Linked DNA regions of Tamandua tetradactyla. The protein of the gene in region 1 interacts with the protein of each later gene in a pairwise test. Links are inferred from orthologs where the notes say so. Each region holds a gene or a part of one and is shown in the gene's direction. Other genes may lie near its edges.

What was found. The genes of interacting proteins can lie anywhere in the genome.
Region 2: the proteins of DMRTB1 (region 1) and PKP2 interact in a two-hybrid assay, tested with the Homo sapiens proteins (2 studies listed by BioGRID). The link is inferred for Tamandua tetradactyla from reciprocal best matches to the Homo sapiens genes DMRTB1 and PKP2.
Region 3: the proteins of DMRTB1 (region 1) and RBFOX2 interact in a two-hybrid assay, tested with the Homo sapiens proteins (3 studies listed by BioGRID). The link is inferred for Tamandua tetradactyla from reciprocal best matches to the Homo sapiens genes DMRTB1 and RBFOX2.

The regions. Positions count from the first base shown.
Region 1 is NC_135328.1:168,179,782-168,187,342, reverse strand, and holds the start of DMRTB1 (doublesex- and mab-3-related transcription factor B1), read left to right. Parts: upstream 1-4,556; 5' UTR 4,557-4,586; coding exon 4,587-5,232; intron 5,233-7,561.
Region 2 is NC_135333.1:96,246,268-96,253,636, reverse strand, and holds the start of PKP2 (plakophilin-2), read left to right. Parts: upstream 1-4,357; 5' UTR 4,358-4,446; coding exon 4,447-4,669; intron 4,670-7,369. UniProt on the Homo sapiens protein: A component of desmosome cell-cell junctions which are required for positive regulation of cellular adhesion.
Region 3 is NC_135333.1:28,467,136-28,474,316, reverse strand, and holds the start of RBFOX2 (RNA binding protein fox-1 homolog 2), read left to right. Parts: upstream 1-4,169; 5' UTR 4,170-4,247; coding exon 4,248-4,430; intron 4,431-4,530; exon of another isoform or gene 4,531-7,181. UniProt on the Homo sapiens protein: RNA-binding protein that regulates alternative splicing events by binding to 5'-UGCAUGU-3' elements. Prevents binding of U2AF2 to the 3'-splice site.

The DNA.
Region 1 (7,561 bases):
TTCGACTGCTATTCTCCCTTCTCTTATTTTTCTCTTACTCCTTTGTCTTCCATCACTGCTTTGTCCCTGTCTGCTTAAAATTCCTAGGAAAGGTCAGATGAACCAATCAATAGTGTCCTAGGGTGAGGAGAAAAACCCTTGCCTAGCTCACAGTGCTGGCTCAGGTTCGTGGCTAGCCTTGAGTGTGTATCCCACATGGAACAACCACCCAAAAGAAAATCCCATTCAACACCATTTTAATCTTGCAATACCTATGCCAAGTCCTAATTACTTATTGCCCCACTTAACATCCCTGGCTTCTGAGAGAAGAACCAAGAGCAGGAACTAGATATCTGGATCTGTGGGTTCCGGTTTTCTGGCTCTTCCATGTCTCTTCTCTCTTCAGTCTTAGATAAGTGATGCCTATCATGTGCCCCAAGGACTCCCTCCATGATCTAACGGCTACCTATCTCTCCACCTCCTCTCTCCCCAGTCTCCCAACTTTGCTGTATGACAGCCATGCTGCAGGCCTTCAAACATGTTCTTTCTGCCCCAGACATACTTCTCCTGCTTCTGTAGCTAGCTAATTCCTACTCTTCCTCTGGGCCTCAGCTTAGCAATCAGTCCCTCTGGGAGTCTTCCTTGGTCTCTCAAACCTGGTTAGAGCCTCCATATTGGCTCTGAAAGCATCCTGGGCTCCTTGCCACTCCACCATTCCCCCTGCTTTCATCATACTGAAATTATTGTTTACTGTCTGTATTGACAGCTAGAATGTATGCCTAAAGGCAAGTATGTTGGTTTGAAAGGATTATGTACCCCACAAAAGCCATGTTTTAATCCTGATTTATCTTGGGGAGGCAGCTGTTTCTTTTAATCCCTATTCAGCACTGCATGTGATTAGATTATCTCCGCAAAGATGTGACCCACCCAATTGTAGGTGGTAACCTTTGATTAGAAGATTTCCATGGAGGTGTGTCTCCACCCACTGAAGATGAGGTTGCTTACTGGAGCCCTTTAAGATGGAACGATTTTGGAAAAACCTTTAGAGCAACAGACCCATGAGAACCAAGGGAGCCCACGCAGCCAGAGATCTTCAGAGATGAAGAAAGAAAATGCCCCTGGGGAAGCTTCAGGAAACAAGAAGCCTGGAGAGAAAGCTAGCAGAAGTCGCCATGTTCACCATGTGCCTTTCAACTGAGGGAGAAACCCTGAATGTCATCGGCTTTCTTGAACCAAGGTATCTTTCTCTAGATATCTTAATTTGAATATTTGTATAGACTTGCTTTAATTGGGACATTTTCACTGCCTTAGAACTATAAACTTAAAACTTAATAAATTCTCCCTTATAAAAGCTGTTCTGTTTCTGGTATATTGCATACTGGCAGCTTACAAACTAGAACAGCAAGGATCCTCTTTTTTTTTTTTTTTTTTTTTAAATTTACTTCCCTGTCCTTTATCCTTAGTCCACAGCTGGCACTCAATACATATTGGCTATGGGTGGAGTAAAGCAGTGGAATATCCTAGGAAGTTTCCCCAAGTTGCTACCACCTTCAACTACTTTTGCCTCAATTGTAATGAGTTTAGACTAAGATGAACACTTCTACTCATCACCAAAGCTTTCTTGGGGAGAGCACTTGTTTAGAAGAAATATTTGGTTAGCAAATATCTGGTTAAGAGCGTGAACTTTAAGGTCAGATTTCCTGGTTTTGAATCTGTCACTTACTGGCTGTGAAATCTTGGGCAAGTTACTCAACTTCTCTAGGCCTCAGTTTCTTCATGTGCAAAACAAAGGCAATACTGTGGTAACTACCTTAAAGAGTATGAAAATTATAAAAATTACTATACATAAAGAACTTAAGAATTCCTGGCACCAATAAATACTTTTACTATTATTACACCACTAGGGATATAAGGGTGTGGGGTGAGCTCAAGGAATCAAAGTTGATACCCCAATCTTGTTATGTTAGGAAAGAGGTCACTGTGGGCTCTCTATTTTGCTGAACACTAGTATAATGTTTGGGGAAAACTGCTGAAACCAAGCTGATTTACTGTGCAAATTAGGGAGGAGATAACTTTGGCTTCGGCAGAAGAGGGAGGCAGGATTTATTTGTATATGCAACAAATATTTAATGAATTTCCACTATGGGCTAGGCAAGGTTTTTCCTCCTTACTCTGGGGCACCAATGATTGATTCATCTGACCTCTGCTAGGAATTTTAAACAGACGAGGAACAAAGAAAAATAAGATAGCAACAGCCTTAATCCCCAGAAAGCTGACAAAAATCAAGAAAGGCCAGAGGAGTCAGCAATGCTGGGCACTGCGTTTCAGGGGAAGGACAGATCAATATATCTTCACTGGGTATGGCACAGCAGAGGAGGGTTTTGAGATAACAGAAATGCTAATGCAGGATTTCAAAGCATCTACTATGGTATGTGTAATGTAAATCCTCTCCCATCTCCTTTACAAAATCTTCATTAAAGTTTTCATGCTCACAATATATGTATGGGTTATAGCTGCTGGGGGAGGGATACTATAGACAAAAGAGCCCTTCCTTACTCCTACTGTGCTACCAGTAGGGAAACATTACAATGCATGCAATATTTAATGATTATAGATGATACCCATGTACACTGTGTAATACAAGGCTCTTTAAAATGAATGAATTAACAATACCAAAAGTACTCATATTAACTGATGTGAAGAGGAATTATATAGGAAACTTGGAAACTTTTTCCCAAGGGAAAAGGGAGCCATACCTGAAGTTGGGAGCCAGATATGATCACTACCCCAGACTCTCTAGCAAACCGGTGATTTCTCAGCAACTGTAATCTGTCCTTTTATAAATGACTGTCTGTAATTCAGATTTTCTTAAAACATAAATGTTTTAAGATTTAGGTGTGGAGAAGGAAGGGGTCTACTGTGTGCTTTCTGCTCCCATGTTTTTCTGACTTCCAGTTTTCCACTTTTACATCATGTTCCCATCTTTTAAATAACAACAAATGTATATATTAAAAACAAAAAGCAACATCTCATTTCATCATCAGCCTCAGTTATCAAACCAAATAAAACAAAACTATCAATTTTCCTGAATTTCCAGGAGTGAAATAAATAAAGCTCTGCTGGAATTTACCTACACAAATTGAGACTTTGGGGGGGAATAAAGAAATAATCTTTTTTCTTTTCTTAGATTTGTTTACAATATCAACCCTGGGGTTTCTGCATCTTATTATGTGACTACTGATTAAAAAGATATTATGTTGTTTATTAATGTTCTCAAAGCACTATGCCAATTCACATCAACTTGGGTGTATTTTGCCCCTAAAGCTATGAAGTAAATATGGAAGCATTTTGTAGTTAACAAGACTATAAAATATGTTAATTCAAATACTTTGCTTTAAATGGGATTTTTCTTTTTTTTGAACAGGATTTTTCTTTAAATCATTAATGAGAAAATGAAGAAAGCTTGGATAGTCGAGCATGAAATGTAAATGAGAGTAGTTATTTTTTAAAGTATCATCATCTGATATCACAATTTAAATTTGATATTGCACAAAATGATCTTATAATCTGCAGTATCATGAAACTATGCAGCTTATGCCCCAGATTTTTTGGTGGCAGTACTGAAGCCAAGATTTTAAGTAACATTTTCAAATGACTAGATCAGTGAAAAACTTAAGACATTCTGAACTGGGTGAAATAAAAAAAAAGTGCTTGCCTGCTTTTTACCTATGGGGCCATATATATATATAATATATGCATATATATATTAACCACAACTACCTCCTTAAATAATTATATGACTGACCCTGTCACCTAGGCACTGATGGCCCCTTTCTCTTGTTCTCTTTTTTAAACCTAAACAACAACAACAAAAGACCTCAGAGTGTCACTTTTCAGGTATCCTGAGATTTGGATTGGTTTACAGAGATCACTAAATTCAAGGCAAAACTAAACCAGGATTCAAGTTAGTAGAATATCCCGAGACTATATTACTTTAAGATGTCCTAAGAATGTTTTACTTTGGAAGGCATCAACACAGCAATATCCTACCTTCCAGAAATGCATCCCTGTACCAGCAAGACTCTTTTAAGAACTGGGAATTACCCTGGAGCAATCATCACACAGCACCGAGCTCTTGAGAATATTCTGGAAGCATCACACTGTGACCGGTTGCTTCTCTGCAGGGGAGAGAAATGAAATTCAGCAGAAGCAGCAGCTTTTGGGAGGTGATACACGGTTTTCCTGTGAGAATGCTTTTCTACTGGAATGGGTTTACAGAGCACTACATTCCTCTGGAGTTTTAAATCTGTGGACCGTTGAATATGACTCCGCCTTATTTGAAGTTGCAAAATACCTTCTATCTGGGGTGGCGGGAATCAGAACTTTGGAAAATTAAATGTCTGAGACTTCAGACAACCCAGATGGCGTGCATGCAATAGCATTCCATGAAAAACGTATTCAGCCCAACCTTTGCACCTAATTACCCAAGGCGCAGAGATTCAGGGACTCTCCAAATTTTGCATCCCCCCCAAAAGGGAGGGCAATTGCAAGGGTCTTGCTGCAGTTCCCGGGACGTACCACCAGCCGCTTTGTTACAAGTGTATCCAATGTCCCCAGCACCAAGGACTTCTGGGGCGCCGCTCATCCTTGCTCCACTCGCTCTGCAGCTACCGTCTGGGGAGGTTGTACAAGCAGACCCTACCAAGCAGGCCGACAAGATGCTGCGTACCCCGAAGTGCTCCCGATGCCGGAACCATGGCTTCCTGGTGCCGGTCAAGGGCCATGCAGGCAAATGCCGCTGGAAGCAGTGCCTTTGCGAGAAGTGCTATCTGATCACCGAGCGCCAGAAGATAATGGCGGCGCAGAAGGTGCTCAAGAAGGAGACGTCTGAGGAGGAGCAGATAGCCCTGGGCGCGCAGGGGCCGGAGCTTGCCTCCAGGGCCATGGTCGCCGTCCCCGGATCAAGCCTCTGCCCGCTGCCACCGCCCTCCGCTGCGAGAAATGCAGAGCCCGGCCCTCCGGCCGCCCGCTTCCTTGAAAGGCCCCCGCCGGGCCCGAGCCCAGGCCCCAGCGCCTTCCAGCCGGTTCTGGGAGGCCGCGGCCACGTGAGGCCGAATGAAGGAGTCGGGGCGGCGATGCAGGGTTCTGTGGGACCCCAGTTCGAAGCGGAGGCCGCGGGCAGGGGATACCCTGGTCAACTGGAGATGCCAAGGCTGCTGAGGCCCGTTTCCAGCCCACCATTCGCCGATTTCGGTAAGATTCCCAGGCCCCGTGCAGGCATGCCCCACCGCCAGTTCCTTTCCAGGCTGTAGTTTCCCTGCTCCGGGAGCTCCCAGGCCCGCCCGGAACCGCCAATGTAGGCAGTTGGGGGGGGAAAGTGGGGAAAAGAGGTAGCCTTTGCTTTGACAAATCTTTCTCTGAACAGGGCTTGGGTTGGTGCCTTTTTGCAAAAAGAAAAAAAGAGAAAGGAATGAGTGGTCCACAGGACTTTTAACGTTTAGCGACAGTTTTTGCCTTTCCATCTTGCAAGAAAAAAATGGCTACCACGCCAGCTTAGCTGTGACTCCTCGGTGGGGACGTCCTGTGGAGACCAGTCCGACTGCGCTTGCGCACCTCTTCCCGCCTTTTTCTTGGACTGGCTGCTCCTCCCCCAGAGCGTTTCAGCCGGTGGGCAGGCTCAATTCTGGCTGCTCCTGCGCAACCTTTTGTAGTTTGGAGACTCTGCCCTGAAGATCTGTCCTTAGCAGGGCCCTGGTATAACGCACCTGCACCTGCGCACCCCTTGCTGCTCTTTTCTAGGCCTTGCGAGTCCTTCCACCCCGCCTATTACTCTGTGGGTGGACCTGCGCCTGCGCACCCACCCCTCCTACTGGTGGGCTGAGGTTCCTCCCAGAAGACTGCCCGACAAAAAAAAAAAGCATTCTGGCCTGATGCGCCTGCGCACCCATTCCCTCCATTTTCTTGGGCGGGAGTGAGAAAAGGTTTTACCCGCGGCCCCCTACATCCACTGGAGAGGAGCAGTTGGTTTACTGAGAAGTTACTGTCTTTAATTTTTTTGTCCCTCACCCTTGCATAAATTACATTATTACTGATATCTTACAGCATTCAGTATTAAAGTATAATTTCAAGTCACTTATAGATTTGAGGCTTTCAGAACAGGTTCTTTTTTTAAAAATATTTTGATTGATAAACAACATACAAACATAAGCATTCTTAACATACAAACATTCCATACACCTACAGTCAATGGCTCACAATATCATCACATAGTTGTATATTCAACACCATGATCATTTCTTAAAATATTTGCATCACTCTGGAAAAAGAAAGAAAAAACTCATACATACCATACCCCTTACCCCTCCCTCTCGCTGACTGCTAGTATTTCCATCTATTCAATTTATTTTAACATTTGTTCCCCCTATTATTTTTAATCCATTATTTCTTACTCATCTGTCCATACCATAGATACAAGGAGTGTCAGACACAAGATTTTCACAATCACACAGTCACACTGTGAAAGCTATATCATTATACAATCATCTTCAAGAAACATGGCTACTGGAACACAGCTCTATAGTTTCAGGTACTTCCCTCCAGCCTCTTTAATACACCTTGAACCAAAAAGGTGATATCTGCCTAATGCATAAGAATAACCTCCAGGATAACCTCTCGATTCTGATATCTCTCAGCCACTGACACTTTATTTTGTCTCATTTCTCTGTCCCTTTTGGTCGAGAAGGTTTTCTCAATCCCTTGATGCTGAGTCCCAGCTCATTCTTGGATTTCAGAACTGGTTCTTTTTAGTGTGGATATGTTTTCTCGGTATCTTACCTATAGCAACATGGTTGAAAAGCACAGGTCTGAGTCCAGAGGCTGGGGTGGGGGGTGGTTGGAGAGGAAGGCTGCTCAACTTTGAGCAGACTGCTTCTTTCTATGCCATTCTCTCCTCTCTGTATCTCCCTACTGAGACTGGTCTGGATACTCTTTGAAGGCCATTTCTGTCTTCTGGGGCATTCTAGGAAAATCGAGGTTTCCCAAGAAACCAGCTGTCTGATGGGGAAGATAGACCTGAAACAGCAGTTATAGGAGAAGGCTGCCTTCCCAGGGTCACAGTCTCAACAGACACTAATGATGAAGAAAGAAGCAACATTCTCTGCACTCAAGGATCTTGTAGTCCTAGTGGGAGGGACAGCATGTAATCAAAGAATCATGCAAATAAATGCATGAAGCTATAATAACTGATGATTTAACTGAGGTCTGAAGGAAGAATAGGACTTGATGAGCACACAAGGAGGCAAAGTGGAGCTACGGTATAAGGCCTTCCAAGCCCAGGGAACAGCATCTGCAAAGGCCTTGCGATGAATGAGGTTACAGTTTATGATACGGCTGGAGTGGAGGCAGGAACCAGACCCCATGGTGCTGCACAGACTGTGCTAAGAACTTTTTCTAAGAGTGGTTGGACATAGTTGTGGAGTTTTAAGAGGAGCAAGGTTCATAGACGTAATGGATTTGGGAGTTCTTTGCAAATGCATATGAATGTTTATTACACTGCTATCCTTGGTTGGACAGTAATGTGATG
Region 2 (7,369 bases), on another chromosome or scaffold:
CAGTGACTATGCACAAACTGCTGATTGCCAGCCCTTGTAGTTGCCCACCTAGTTTCCACCTCCCACACTGCATTTTCAAAGGTTTCAGACCCACACACTCACAATGCACCCAGAATAGCAGGCAAAATGAACATGTGAATTAACATAAACACCTCAATCCGCACTGCTGTTGAAAGACCCTCTCGGCATGAGTTTTTCAGCACTACGTGTTCATAGCTTCCTTTCCCAGCTCACAGCTTCATTACACATGGCTCAGGATAAAACTGCGACCGATTGTCTTGGCAACATATACATTTACTAAAAGAGGAAACAACTCTAAGGTTTACTTTAACTTTTCTATCTGCCAGTTTCCTTGCACTAATTTAGGAAATATTTTTAAAAGCAGTAGCTATTCATAGCCTAGAAATAGTAGCAGTAAAATATTTCATGAGCAAAGACACTCAGGGAAATGTGTTCGAGTTCCTTTTTAATACGAATCAAAGAGTTTGGGTGCCACTAATATTCTCCAATTATCTCCATTAAAATGATTTCTGCTCTAAAAGTTATTCTGTATTTGATCTTCTAGTAATTTACTGAATATTTAGTATATTGAATTACCCACATTGGAATTTGTATATGGCTAAAGAAAATAAAGATTACTCTAAGGAAACCCTAACTATAGATTTGAAAACAAAGAAACATTAATGCTTCAAGGCTATAGTGTGTAAATCAGATAAAAACACAAGTTTAAAATCCAAGAATTTCTGAATCTTTATTATAGGTTAGCAGTAGAAGTATTTGTAGTCTCAATTCAGTTATCTGTTATTTACATTCCACTTCAACATTCCTGTGGTTTTCCTTTTTTTAAATACATTCTGTTGATTAGTGAAAAGCAAAAGAAAGTTTTCAAAGCTGAACCTAAACACCAAAAAATAGATGATATTAGAACAACTGAATACTACAAAAGTATTCACAGCATTTTATTTCCCTGCTTCATTTTGTTGGCTAGGATGTTAGAATGCTTCCTTTAACTGTTATCTCAGGGCTTGCTCACAATTTAGGAAGTCGGCTAGGCAGCATTCCCAGGAAATGCAGAGGACATGACAGGGCCTGCACTCAGTTGGAATAGAAGCATATCTAGATAACTTTTATGGGCACATTGCCAGAAAACTGATACTTCCTCACCCAGTGATTAACAATTGTTACTGCAACGGGATTCCCACTCCAAAGGGCTCTTTTTAATGGTTTATATGTTTATCTTATTTCAAAGAGATCATTCTCCTGAAACTATTGAATTCTGTAGGTATTTGAAAATTTAAAACTTCATTTTGCTTTAGTTTGTTTTTAATTTATGATCTAGAATATGTAATATCTATGTAACTTTTTAAAAGATGGTAAAAAGTTACCAAAAAAGTATAAGTGCTTAAATAATACTAACAGTCGTTGAACATATATTATATACTATACAATGTACTAAGTGATTTTATTCATTAATCATTTATTAATTCATTCATTCAGCAGATATCCATTGTCTACTATGTGTACTATTCTGGGTCCCAGAGGGCAGCAGTGAACAAAACAAAAATCCCTGCTTTCATGGAGCTTTATATTCCAGGAGCAAAACAGTCAACAATTCAATTAGTAAAACATAAAGCAATTGTGATAAGTACTATGGAGAAAAATTAAGCAGAGAAAGGAGATAGTGAGTGACTGTGTGCATGTGAAAGGGTCACACTTAGTTGATGCATTGACATTTAAGCAGAGACCTGAAGGGGTAAGGGAGTCTGAAAGCAGATCTCTGGGAGATGTGTCAAAGATCATTGAACAATTATTTACTGTACACTTATGTGCCACTCGTTGTTTAGTGTTCACAACAGCACTATAGGGTAGACACTTTTATTGCTCCCATTTTACAAATAAGAAAACTTTTACAGCTTAAAAAAATGTAAAGAAACTAGCTTACAGCTCCATTATTTCCAAAAGATAGCTATAATTTGAACCCAGATCCTCCTGGCTTAAAAGCTCTATTTTTAACCATTCTCCTACTGCCAACTCACCTATCTACCTAGTGATAATGTTTCCACATGCTCAGTATCAGTACACACCTCATAGGATAATCCAATACAATATCACACTTAAAAAGAAAAAAATAATTGGGGAGAAAAATATAAATGAAGTCTAACTGATTAAAATAAAGCCCGGTCTGAAAATGTAGAGCTGTGTTCCAGTAGCCATGTTTCTTGAAGATGATTGTATAATGATATAGCTTTCGCAACCTGACTGTGTGATGTGAAAACCTTGTGTCTGATGCTTCTTTTATCTACCTTATGGACAGATGAGTAAAACATATGGATTAAAAATAAATGAATAATAGGGGAACAAATGTCAAAATAAATTTAGTAGATTGCAATACTAGCGATCAATGAATGGGAGGGGTAAGGGGTATGGTATGTATGAATTTTTTTTCAGTTTTATTTTTATTTCTTTTTCTGAATTGATGCAAATGTTTTTAAAAATGATCATGATGATGAATATACAACTGTGTGATAAAAAATAATGTTCATATTGTATGTTGGTTTTATTAATAAAAATAAAAAATAAATGAAATGAAATAAAGCCAGGTAAGAGATCTAGATGGAGACAGAGCTCACAGACAAATGAGAAGTCCCAGCAGACCCTGAAATCACCTTTCAAAGATAAAGAGGCAAGAATAAACGTAAGGAATGCAGAGGAGGACAGGAAACAAGTTTGTTGTTGGAAATCTTTATTAGCACTTTCCCCTTCCCTCTCACCCCTCTCTTCCTAAGCTATATCTCAGCATCAGGGTTGGATGTTTATACCTGGCCAAATAATTGAGCTTTTGAAAAGGTGGCAATTTATCTAAAGATTGGGCTTGCTGGGATGGGAACCATCTTCCAAGACCCACTATCCACATGGCTCCCAGTGAAGCTGTATATTCCACATGGCTAAGGCCATGCTGAGAAAAGGTGACAGAATTGTCACCATTTGGTTGTTCAGGCTTCTAGCCCTTTCCTCCTCACTCTCCGGAAGCTCATGTAAAAACAGAGGCCAGGTACCACCTGCACATTAAGTGTTTGTCTAAGGGTAGAAGGTCTGGGTGGGAAAATGAGGAAGAGGAAAGCTGGGTTCTCCAGCCACTCCAAACTTGAATAAGTGGAGTTTTTCAGCAATTGAGTGATTTTAGGGAAAGTGAACATGCAAAGGATGGTCAATTCTAAGCAATCAAAGGAAGATTGTCCTACTTAGTACTGAGGAAAGATGTTTTTCTTTCTGCCTCTCAAGTCCAAAGAGAAAACTCATGTCGAGTGGCTGAGACTGGTAAACTTTGAGGTCAAGGACCCCTTCTGTTGAGCTTAACTCTGAAGTTCTGAGTCATGCGCTGCGTGTGAAAAATAATTAATAGCATGATAAATATCAGATGTGGAAGATGCAATGAAAATTAGAGGTGCCTTCCATGAGCCCCACCCCTTACAAAAAGCCTGTCATGAACATTGCCTTGATCAACATTAGCAGGGCTATTAAGAAGTATCGCCTAATTAAAAGTCTACTCTTCCGTATTGCCTCTTATTGGAGTTTCTCTGCGTGGGTGTGTTCATAAGAGGAGTGGGTGAGAAAGTGTGTACTGGGTACAATTTGTGTTTCTGCAAGAGAAAACAGAAGCTCTCAATGAAAAGAACATATGTTTCTGGGACTGCAGCTGTGTAAAAAGCACGGCGTCCTTTAAGTTTGTACTAAGAAAAAGAAAAACTTCTGAAAAGTCTTTTATTTCACGCATTTCATCTTCTTGGCAAATTTCCCCTTGTACTGCCCTTTGCACTTGACCAACCAGGTCTTTCTCACCCCCAGGTCCAGAAAACGAAACGTTTCGAACAGTCTGGCAGAGCATGACTAACCAGATAAACCGCTCACTCGGGGATCCCAGAGGCAGCAAACCTCAGTCGAAGAACAGAAGTGACTTTCAGGGCGCACCTGCCCGGAGGCCTCAATCAAACGGAAATCACATCATTTGCAGAGGCTGGGCCAAGGCCGAGTAAATTAATCTGAATGGGGCGCGCCCCTGGCAGGCGGATCCGAGAAGACGCCTAGTGTGTGCTTAGAACCTGGGCAGGCGGCGCCCGGCTCCCCGCCTCCGCGCCTCCGCGCCTCCGCGCCTTTGCGCTGGCGGGCCATCTCGCCAGGTGTCCGCGCGCGCCGCCGACCTCGCTCCTGCTCCCGCTCACGGCCCGAGTGCGCGCATCTGGTCGAAGCTGCACCGTCTCACTCCAGCCTGGGCGCCGGGATCCAGAGGCCGCGCTATCCCCCAGTCCACGCCGCACAGCAGCGCGGGAGGCGGCAACGGGGCGGGACCAGAGGGCGGGACCGGGATCGAGCTGCTCTCGTGGATCCGCCGCGGCTTCGCCCGCAGGTACAACGGCAGGCGAGCGGATCGGTCGCCTCTCCGGCCCCATGGCAGCCCCCGGCTCCCCGGCTGAGTGCGGCTACATCCGGACTGTCTTGGGCCAGCAGATTTTGGGGCAACTGGACAGCTCCAGCCTGGCCCTGCCCTCCGAGGCCAAGCTGAAGCTGGCGGGGAACAGCGGCCTTAGTGGCCAGGCGGTCAAGAGCCTGCGGATCCAGGAGCAGGTGCAGCAGACCCTGGCCCGGAAGGGCCGGAACTCCTTGGGCAACGGTGAGTGCAGCCGGGCCATCCCTCTGCGCGGACCCTGGCCCTCGCCCCTTCCTTCTGTCCCTCCTCACCCTCATCGGCCTGTTGCTTATTGGGGGTGCGGAACCTGGTGGGGGTCCCCACCTGTTGGTCGCGGCTCCTTTGTATGACCCTTGGCGACTCCGGAGTCAGAACAGCGTAGTTGGAGAAAGCACTCTTTTTTTCCCCGTAATCTCTTAGCTTTTTCATGTATGTATCTACACATATTAAATGCACATGTAATGTATCCATTAAAGAATTCAGTCCACTCTCTTCGCCTCTCCCGTGTCCTGCGTTCACTCCCCAATCCCCAGCGGGTACAGGGCGGGGATTTAACCTGAAGGCTTAGGGGGTCTATATAACACTCTGAAAGTCTATACACAATTTTGGTGAGGTCATTTTTCTAGTAGAAAGCGCCCTTAGCTTTTATTGGATTTTTTAAAGAGTTTGTGACCCGTCCCCCGCTCCCCGCCTCCAAAATCCTGAAGAAAAAAAAAAAAAGGCCACGTGAAAGTACATAAGAAGTACTGCTGCTCCTACAACTCAGTTTGATTGTGGTGCGTTGCCCAGGTGCTTGGGGGTTCTCCGCCTAGTGTACGGGGCGAGGGTGAATCTACAAAGGGAACAAATTGGGTAGGAGGCTTTGGCACGGGGAGTGACCACAGCGCCCTGCGGAAGAAAAGGAGGAGGAAGGGGAATTGGGCTGGCCACAGCAGCCTCGTTGCCTCCCTGCGCCTGGCTTGTGAGCACTGCCTCCCCGCCCTCTGCGCACCCTGGGGCTGGGCTGGTCCCTAGGAAAAATTAAACCCGGAGGTGAAAGGGGTTAAAAAAAAATTATTTTAGTGATTGACAAGAGAAGTAGAAGAAGATGACAGGCCATTTGTTTGTGAAGATTAGAGAACATTGTACATCGTTTTCTCCCCTTCCAGAGTAAGGCGGTCAGAGTGATACAGTAACTCTTATCTTAATTGTTTAATATATTTTTATTATGAAAGTACTATAGGCTTATAAAAGAAAATAGAAGAGGAAAGATATTGAACAATTAATTAGATTGGGAAATGAGTGTGTTTCCTGTGATTTTTGTTTCCCTAAGAAGTCATTTGGGCAGTGAAGAACCCAGGACCCATTAGAAGACAGATCACAGGTTTAAAACAGCAGAATCTGGGTGACTGTACTGTTTTCAGTTTATGAAAAGAATCCTGAAGGATCAGGCAGTTAGTATGTAAAAACTTGAGAAATTAAGAAAACGATGTTTAATGTTAATACCTAACATTATTCAGTGCCTGTTTTGTGCCAAGAATTGGGCTATGTGGTTTGCATTCATTTTATTAAAGTTTTCAAAAAAAAAAAACTTGTGGGTATTTGAAATCACCATTTTACAGATGAGGATAGTAAGCACTTACATAACACTTGAATTCCCACAGATAGTAAGTGACAGAGTTCATATTTAAATGCCTGAACCTGAGTTTTTTTTTTAACTATTCATGACTTATGTAGTTAGGTTTTTTATTATTAATATAAAAGTGGGATTTATTAGACCTTAAGTCTCTCTGTGACACCTCTGGTCAGTCCTACCAACCACGCCCTAGTCAGTTTTCTTTTATACCACATTTCCTTTCTGCTGTGCAATTCCAAAGGACCTTACCTGACTCTTTTTTTATTTTTATTTTATCTCAGTGAATATTGTAGCCAAAGATGTAATAGTTAAGGTAAGGTTGAGGGGTAACTCTGCCAAAGTTATTTAATTCTTTACATTTTAGGGCTCTTTAACCCTGAGGAATGACCTTTTAAAATTGGTTTTACCTTTTCCTTAATGGTTTCTTTATTTTTATATATTGATGAATTTTTTATTTTACTAATGAATCAGTCTTCATTGATAACCCTGCATTCCCCTCTTTAACACTCTTCTTTCCCCATCCCACGTACCCTGCCTCTATTTTCCTACATGCCACTTAACACCATCAGTCATATGTGGTCTCTCTAACTTTACTAGGGTTTTATTATAACCTTGAAACAATTATATAAGATAGATATGGGGATCCATTTCACATATGAAGAAACCAAGACACACAGTCATACAATGAACAATTAAAGGTGCTTAGATTTGATCTAGGTATTTCTTTCAACAAACTGGAGCTCAGTCCCAAACCCACGCATAGTCTGTCCTCTTTACAATATAGCACATCAGCCTCTTGGTGAATTCAGCAACTGTCGATTGAGGATATTCATCATATAGGGCACTGTGCAAGCACTGAATTGAACATAGACTGCTGATTTTAAAGCCAGGATTTAAAGTCTGAGGAAGGAAGCCTTCATTTTCAACCCAAATAAATATAACCCACACATAAAGTGGTAAGCGATGAAAAAAGAAGAAATGCTAACGCAGGACGGAGTTTGGGAGTATGAGTTACTTGTAGATGAAGGGAATTTTGGAAAGCTTTGTAGAGGAGATGGTGTTTTAGATCTCAAAAAGTTCAGTAGGTTTGGATCTGGGGAGATGGTTGGAAGAAGAACATTTTAAGAGGGAAACAGCTTGAATATTTCACAGTTCACAGAGTTGGCAGGATAGAACAAATGCTTCTGTCCTAATGCTGAGAGCAACTACTTGAGTGACTCTTTCAAGTAAGGAACAATGTGTTTAAAATATTTTGATTACAGCAGCAGCTCCCCAGCATGCTGAAATAT
Region 3 (7,181 bases), on another chromosome or scaffold:
CTTTACAGATTCTATCAGTTAGAAGTTGAGTTTGGCTGCATGTGGAAAACTACCTACAGAGGCTCAATCAAATGGGAACTTATTTTTCTCATACAACAATAAATTAGACGTAGGCAGACTTAGGCTGTTATGAAGGCTCTGCAATACCATTCTTAGTACGAGCTCTTGACCTCATGGAGAAAAGATGTCTGCTGTTTTTCCAGTCTGTGTTCCAGGAAGAAGGAAGGGTGAAAGGCAAGAGGCAAAGGATTAAGGGCAAAAAGCAAAGAGCCTTTTCTTCCCATGGTCTTTCTTATTAATTAGGAACAGTTACCAGCTTCAGTGACTTCTACTTACACCTCCAAGGCCAGAGCTGTGTTACATGGCCACACTTAGCTAATAGGAAGCTTGGGAATTCAATAGTCGTAAACTGGCAGACTCCTGCCCTGAACACAAATGGGGTTTCAATAATAAGGAATTAAGAAGAGAATAGATAATGGGCTGGCTGCTATCAGTGCCTGTCAAACAAATGTAGAAGCTGGGCCTCAGAGAGGCTAAGGATTTTGTCTGAGCTCAGGTATATGAGGTCAGATCTAACCCATGTCTATTTGACACAAGAGTCCGTGTTCTTGACCACTAGGAGGGATAAGCAACTTACCATGATGCATTGCAACTGTTTTTTTTTTTTTATTTGTTCATCTCTTCCTTCCCTAGACTGTGAATAAATTTTATGGTACCATGATATCCTAGACACGTGCCCATATTTCTCAAATAAATGTTATCACTGTAGTCGTTTTTGCAGCTAGAAATTCTTTCTAGGAAATATGTTTTGTCTCTTCCCCTTTAATATTTTATAGGCACCTGTCTTTAAACAGGTAGTTTCAGATTTACATAAAAGAAATGATATTGGTCATTGTGCTGCTCTGGACACACATGGCCTCTTGCACTATTGTAGGCTTCTATTCTCCATTTTCTTAATGTTTGTTTATGGGGCAGACTCCATTTTCCCTTTGTTTTGCCTGGTCATTCAAACATTTCTATACTGCATTGCTCTATTTCTTAGGGATTTGAGAGCTACTTGAATAACATAATAATTTGAGTCATAGGCAGTCCTGATAGTAAGTCTCATTTCTTGCAGGGTTATTGGGCAGCTCAGGAAGGACTTAGCATCATTTAGATTTCAGTATTTTGGTAAGAAGGTAGGGAGGGGAGAAGAATTCTTTTTTTTTGGAAGTGTTTTTCTTTTGTTAATTTTTTTAAATTTAAGAATACAAATACACTTAGAACCACCAAAAATGTATATCTTACTTAGCTTAACCGTAGGCATATTTAAATAAAGTATCCATATAATCATTATAAAGCCTGTGTTTGTGCAGTAAGTTTCACAAACCAATTTAAAATTGAGGCAACAAGGAAAAAGGGAAAAAGAATTCTTAAGGCACCAGTTCAGTAAGTAAAATTTTCAGAAAACCAACCATTGATGTCTCTAGGTTTAAAAAAAAAATCCATCATTGTTTCACAGACCACCAGGAAACATCCTGATTTTTCTTCAAAGATATAATACTTAGTTGGATGGGATCAGGCCCATCTGCTCTAGGGTACTGTCAACAGAAGACCCCTGACTTAGAATGGGGATGTCTAATTCAACTCAAGTACAAATTTTTAGGCACTTGAACTTCCAACTTGATGGCCCAAATGACCATATAAAGACATGTCTGGGCTTTTATTTCTAACCCCCTGGCCCCCTGGCCAGAAGCTTAGCAACACTAAATAAATAATATGATAAATAATTACCACCTATTAAACAGTTATTATATGGTAGGCTGTGTGCTAAGACTTGTACTTGTTTTATTTAACAACAATGTGACTATTATAATTGCCATCTTACAAACGAGCATTTGAAAGTTTATTGAAAATAAACTGCCCAACATAGTAGTTGCACCAAGGGAAGCTTTGTTCACCCCACCCCAATCTCTAGTGGCCCCACCCAAGCCCCCTCATATAATTAAAACAAAACAAAAACAGTGATGGTCATAGTCTTTGATTTTCACAATGGGCATTTTTTTCACTGTCATTTAAAGTGTGAATAAAATAATAATGGGAATAATAATAGTTAATATTTAATGAATGTTCACTATAGATCACGTCTGTTTGAAGTTCTTAATATGTGATATCTCATTTAATCCTCACAATAATTCTTTGAGGGAGATACTATCATTATCTTAATTTTCAAATGAAACTGAGAGGTTAAGTCATTTTCACCAGGCTTCCTTGTTTTTAAGCAGCAGAACTAAATCTTGGCTGTTGTTATCGATCCATAACACACAACCTTAGTAAAACAATGTGTTTACTGTGACAACACAGGTTCAAGACAAGTCCTCCATTCCTTCCTCCCACATTGGAGGCCTTAATTCCTCCTACATAGAACTTTTTAGTTGCAAAAATACATGGGCACTGGGTCCTAAGGCCCAGTTCAAACCTGGGTTGGTGTGACTCCAAAACAGGAAACTTTACCAGCCCTCTACGATTCCACAATTAGCCAGGTTTAAACCCAAGTCCAAAGGCCAAATTATAGACCCATCTGGAAATGACCCATCTGGAAACCCAGAGTTTCTCAACCTTGGCTGGATAATTTTGGGACGGATAAGCCTTTGTTGTGGGTACTGTCTTGATGATGTCAAGCAACATACTTGACTTCTACCTATTAGATGCCAGCAGCACCCAATTTAACAACCAAAAATGTCTCCAGACATTGACAAATGTCCTGGGGCTGGGTGAGTGGGGAGGGTGGGGAGGAAGGCCAAATCATGCAGCTGGGGTCCAAAGAGGTGAAATAACTTGTTTAAGTTAGGTTCATTGTAAACCTGTAAAGTAGAGGACACAATAGGCAACCCTGGAAAAATAGATGCTGTCCTGGTCTTTACAGTCTGGTAGAAGAGAGATGCTATTGTACAGATACCTCTAATTGCGTAAAGTTGATAAGCAATAAAGTGCAGGCAGCCAGGTATAGCGAAAGAATATGACCTGGTGTCTTAGGATCTGCCGCTTTTTAGCTGCAGGACTTAACCAACCTTCAGATGCGTCATCAACGAAACTGTGATCGTGACAACTACTCTGCCTGTAATCACTATATCGGGTCTATGAACGCATTGTGCAAACTGTTATGCTCTTAGAAACAACAGGTATTTTTATGATTATCCGGAATATGAAATTTGTTATTAGAGTAAATGCTCTCAGAACTGGGGAGAGCCATGTAGTGATGGTCTTATTCCTTGACCTTCCAACCGGAGAGTCTCATTCTTCTAAGGGAGAGGCAGCAGGCTAAGAGCCTTCTCCCACAGAACGCCCTTCTTTCCTAGGGAACCAGTGTGGCGAAACCGGAGAACTGAGGTCACGAATCTCTGCACTAGTCCTACTAGAGAGCAGCGCTAGCCGGCCTACGGGTCTCTCAAGCCCCACCTGCCTTAAGCTGAGGCCCCGCCCCTAAAGGGAAGACTCTGGCCCCTTCGCGCAGATACGACTCCAGCCTCCCTGTACCTCCAAGATCGTTCCTCACCCGTACCGGAGATTCCCGAATTTCCCCGAGCTATTTCCGGTTTTCCTCGGGCGGCCGGGGCGAGGGCGACGGAGATTGCCGAGAAGCACTGGTCCCGCCCCCTCGTGGACTGGGCCGCCGCCGCCGCCGCCGCCGCCGCCGCCCCAGCCATAGCCTCCCGCGCGGGCTGGAGTCCTACATCCAGGTCCCTCCCTCCTTCTTTCTCTCTCCCCGCCTTCCCGGAGCTGCCACAGTGGCGGGTCGGAGCATCCCGGCCAGTCAGCTCGAGCCCCTCCTCCCCCCAAATAAACACCCCTCCCCACGCCTCGGCGAGCCGGACCGCCCCCTTCCTCCCTCCGCGAGGCGTGCGAGGGAGAGTGTGAGTGAGCGGGTGCGGGCCGGTGGGCAAGCTTCGTGAGTGTGAGAGGCGGGGCGGCGCGGCGGGCCAGGAGCGGTGTTGCGAGCGTGTTGGTGGGCGGCGAGCGAGTGCCCGCGGCGAGCCGCGAGCGGCCCGGAGCAGGGCGCGGGGCAGCGAGCCGCGGAGCCTGCGAGCGGGAAGCCGCGACCGCGAGCCGCAGAGGGGCGCCGGCCTGCCCGCGCGCACGCACGCACGCACGCGAGGGGGGCGGGGGCAGGCGCGCGCCCGCCTGTCGCGACAGTCGGGGCCGAGGCCCAGGGGGAGGTGGCCTGTCGCGGGTCGCCCGGCTCCCGGAGGCGAGGGGGGCGCGGGCGGATGGCGGAAGGCGCCCAGCCGCAGCAGCCGCCTCAGCTCGGGCCGGGTGCCGCTGCCCGGGGGATGAAGCGGGAGTCGGAGCTGGAGCTGCCGGTGACCGGAGGGGGAGGAGACGGAGCCGAGCCTGGCCTGAGCAAGCGGCCGCGCACAGAGGAGGCGGCTGCCGACGGCGGCGGGATGCAGGTGACCGCGCGGGACGGGCACCCCGTTATCGTGGGTGTGCGGAGTGGGACCTGAGGGGTGGCTCCAGGCTCCCGGGGCTTGGAGAGGAGGAGGGCTTTCGGGGGTCTTGAGCTGGAGGTGGGAGGGGGGCCGGTCGAGGCCTGTTTGGAAGGTGGGGCGAGCTCTGGCTTGGAGGCGAAGGGTGCAGTAGGATCCTGGTGTGCCCTGGAGAGTCCTTATTCCTGAGGGGACGAGGAGACTGACGAGGGAATAGGTTTTTTGGGGAAATCCAGAACATGGTTGAGATGGATTCCATTTTTCATAGTTTGCTAGGGTGGAGTGAAAGCCGGAAAGCCTGGGTCTTTTGCCTAGAGGAGAGCCGCTGGGCTGAATCGAGGACGAGGGGGCAGGGGTGGAAAACCTCCCGAAAAGGAGGAGTACGTTTTTGGCAGCCCTTGACACATACTGGGATGAGGCTGGGGAGAGGCTTTTGAAGGAGGTGAGTGAAAGGCGAGAAAACTCCTAGAGAGAGCCGAAAGGGGATGTGGCTTAGATTGTGGGTTAAATCAGTTACTCAGCGAGTGTGAAGTGCAAGGAGTTTGGTAGTGTTGTGGGGACACTGTGATACTAAGCCTCGTTAACTTCGTGGAGCATGTTAATGAACCTGAAGAGAGACACAAGAAATGCTTCTGCTGTGCTTTGCCAATTGCATCCTACATAGCCAGGACACGTGAAAGGTCTTTAGTACCCTGAGGATATAAAAGAAAATTTATAGGACTGTTAGAAGGCTGGATTCTGAGTTGTGGACTCGAGGATAAGCTAGTTGATTTAGAAATGGGAAATGGAGTGACGATGTCAGTGTCTTTGTAGGTCTTAGTATTTGGTCTCCATTCAGAAAATACTTGCTTTGAAATGATGGGGCTCAGGTACCAACGATTGTTTAGAGAACTGCCTAATTCTCTTAGAATCATAGAATGTTAGCGATTAGAAGGAACCAGAACCATCATCTTTTCCAGGGGTTCTTACCCTGGATAGATTGAAGAATCCTTTGCAAAATAGTGTACGTATACTTTTTTGGGGGGGAGAGCGTCAATAGTTTTCATCTTTTTAAAATTGTTTATGAAGATTCAAGTCCCAAAATATTTTGACCACCTCATTTTATAGATGGGAAATCGTAAGTCCAGAGAGACAACTAGCAACTTACCTAAAGGTATCAGTTAGCTGATGGTAAAGCTAGAATATTACTTTACCCTGGTATTCTTATTCCTATTCCTGTGTCTCTTCATTTAACTACTCTTGGAAATCTGTGCAATGCTAAAAGACTTCCTGTGTTTTCCTCCCTGCTTTTCAAGGCTCTGCCTGACTTCCTGTGTTGGTGAAGGAGCTGTACTTAGGCCTGGCATGGTTGCTGTATGCTTCTTGGTCTTCTTTGCAGAGGCTTCTTCTTTGCAGAAGTATTTTTACTTCTTTTGGTTTGGATATAGTGACTCTCTTGGTGTTTATTTTTGAATTCGTTTGTTTTGTGTGCCTGCTTTTGTTGCCCATTAGAATTTTGTCAGGCAAAGGGATTGTGAGAAGTAAAAGCTCAGGACCATGGAAAATAATAGAGAGGAATATGGGGAGACTTAAGGTGAGGTGGATTAACATTGGATGGTAAGTTGGGGGACACTGGATGTGGGTCCTGGTGAGCATGTTTTGCTTGATGTGTCCATTCATGAATGTATGTATTCTTTTATTGTTTCTATCAATCATAGTTAATAGGGGGAATCTCCTTCCTCCCCTTTCCTCCCAGAGCTTATTATTGGCCGGCTGCTTTCAAAGTGGCTAAGGACAATAGTATTGAGAAATGGAGTATTGTAGGACCTTTAGGGGTATACAGGGGAAGGAGTGGATTAAGTCCTTTGGGCACAAATGGGCAACTTAGAACTATTCCACAGAGATCCTTTTTTTCTCTCTGGTATTTGTGGCTGTTCTTTATTTTTCACTTCGCACATTCTCAATATGCAGTCCCATTGCAATGTGTCACACAGATTTTCAAATCATCGTTGATGTAGCACCTTACCTTCAACTAGCATGGTTTTGTAAAGATCTCTTTGTTGGGGACTTCTTTTTTCCTTGTAAAATAAAGTGTTTGTACAGAATGATTTCTAAATTACTTTCCAAAAAATATGTCAAGTTTTCTGTCTAGATTGCGAGACTAAATGGGTGAACGTTAAAAAAATGGTATATATGGTTTTCTTTTTAATGTTCCAGAGGAGCAGGAGTAGAGATATCACAGGATAGCTATATCACATGATATTGCATAATTTAGAGCCAAAGGGTACAGAGGATTTATGGTGTCCACTGGGTCCAGGAGAAAGACATGGTCAAGAAAGCTTTGGTGAGAAGTTTGAAACTGAGATATAATAAAGAAGAAATAATATTTATGAAAAGATGATGTTTAAGCCTAGTACTACACTTCTAGGATTTTCTGATACCATTCTGATAATAGTGAAGGGATAATTATTATTCATTTATTCAGTCAACTAATGTTATTGAACAGCTGCTGTGTGCCAGGTTCTGGTTTTATACCTAGGAGACATGGAAGTGAACGAATCAAAGACCCTGCTCTCATGGAACTAATATTCTAATGGGAGGAGATAGATAATAAATAAATCAACAACTTTTATTAGTTAGGTGGTAGTAAATCCTAAAAAGAAAAATAAAGCAGGTAAAGGGATAGAGAATGAGGGAGAGATGGTCAAGAAAGGTCTCTCCAATAGGTGATGTTTG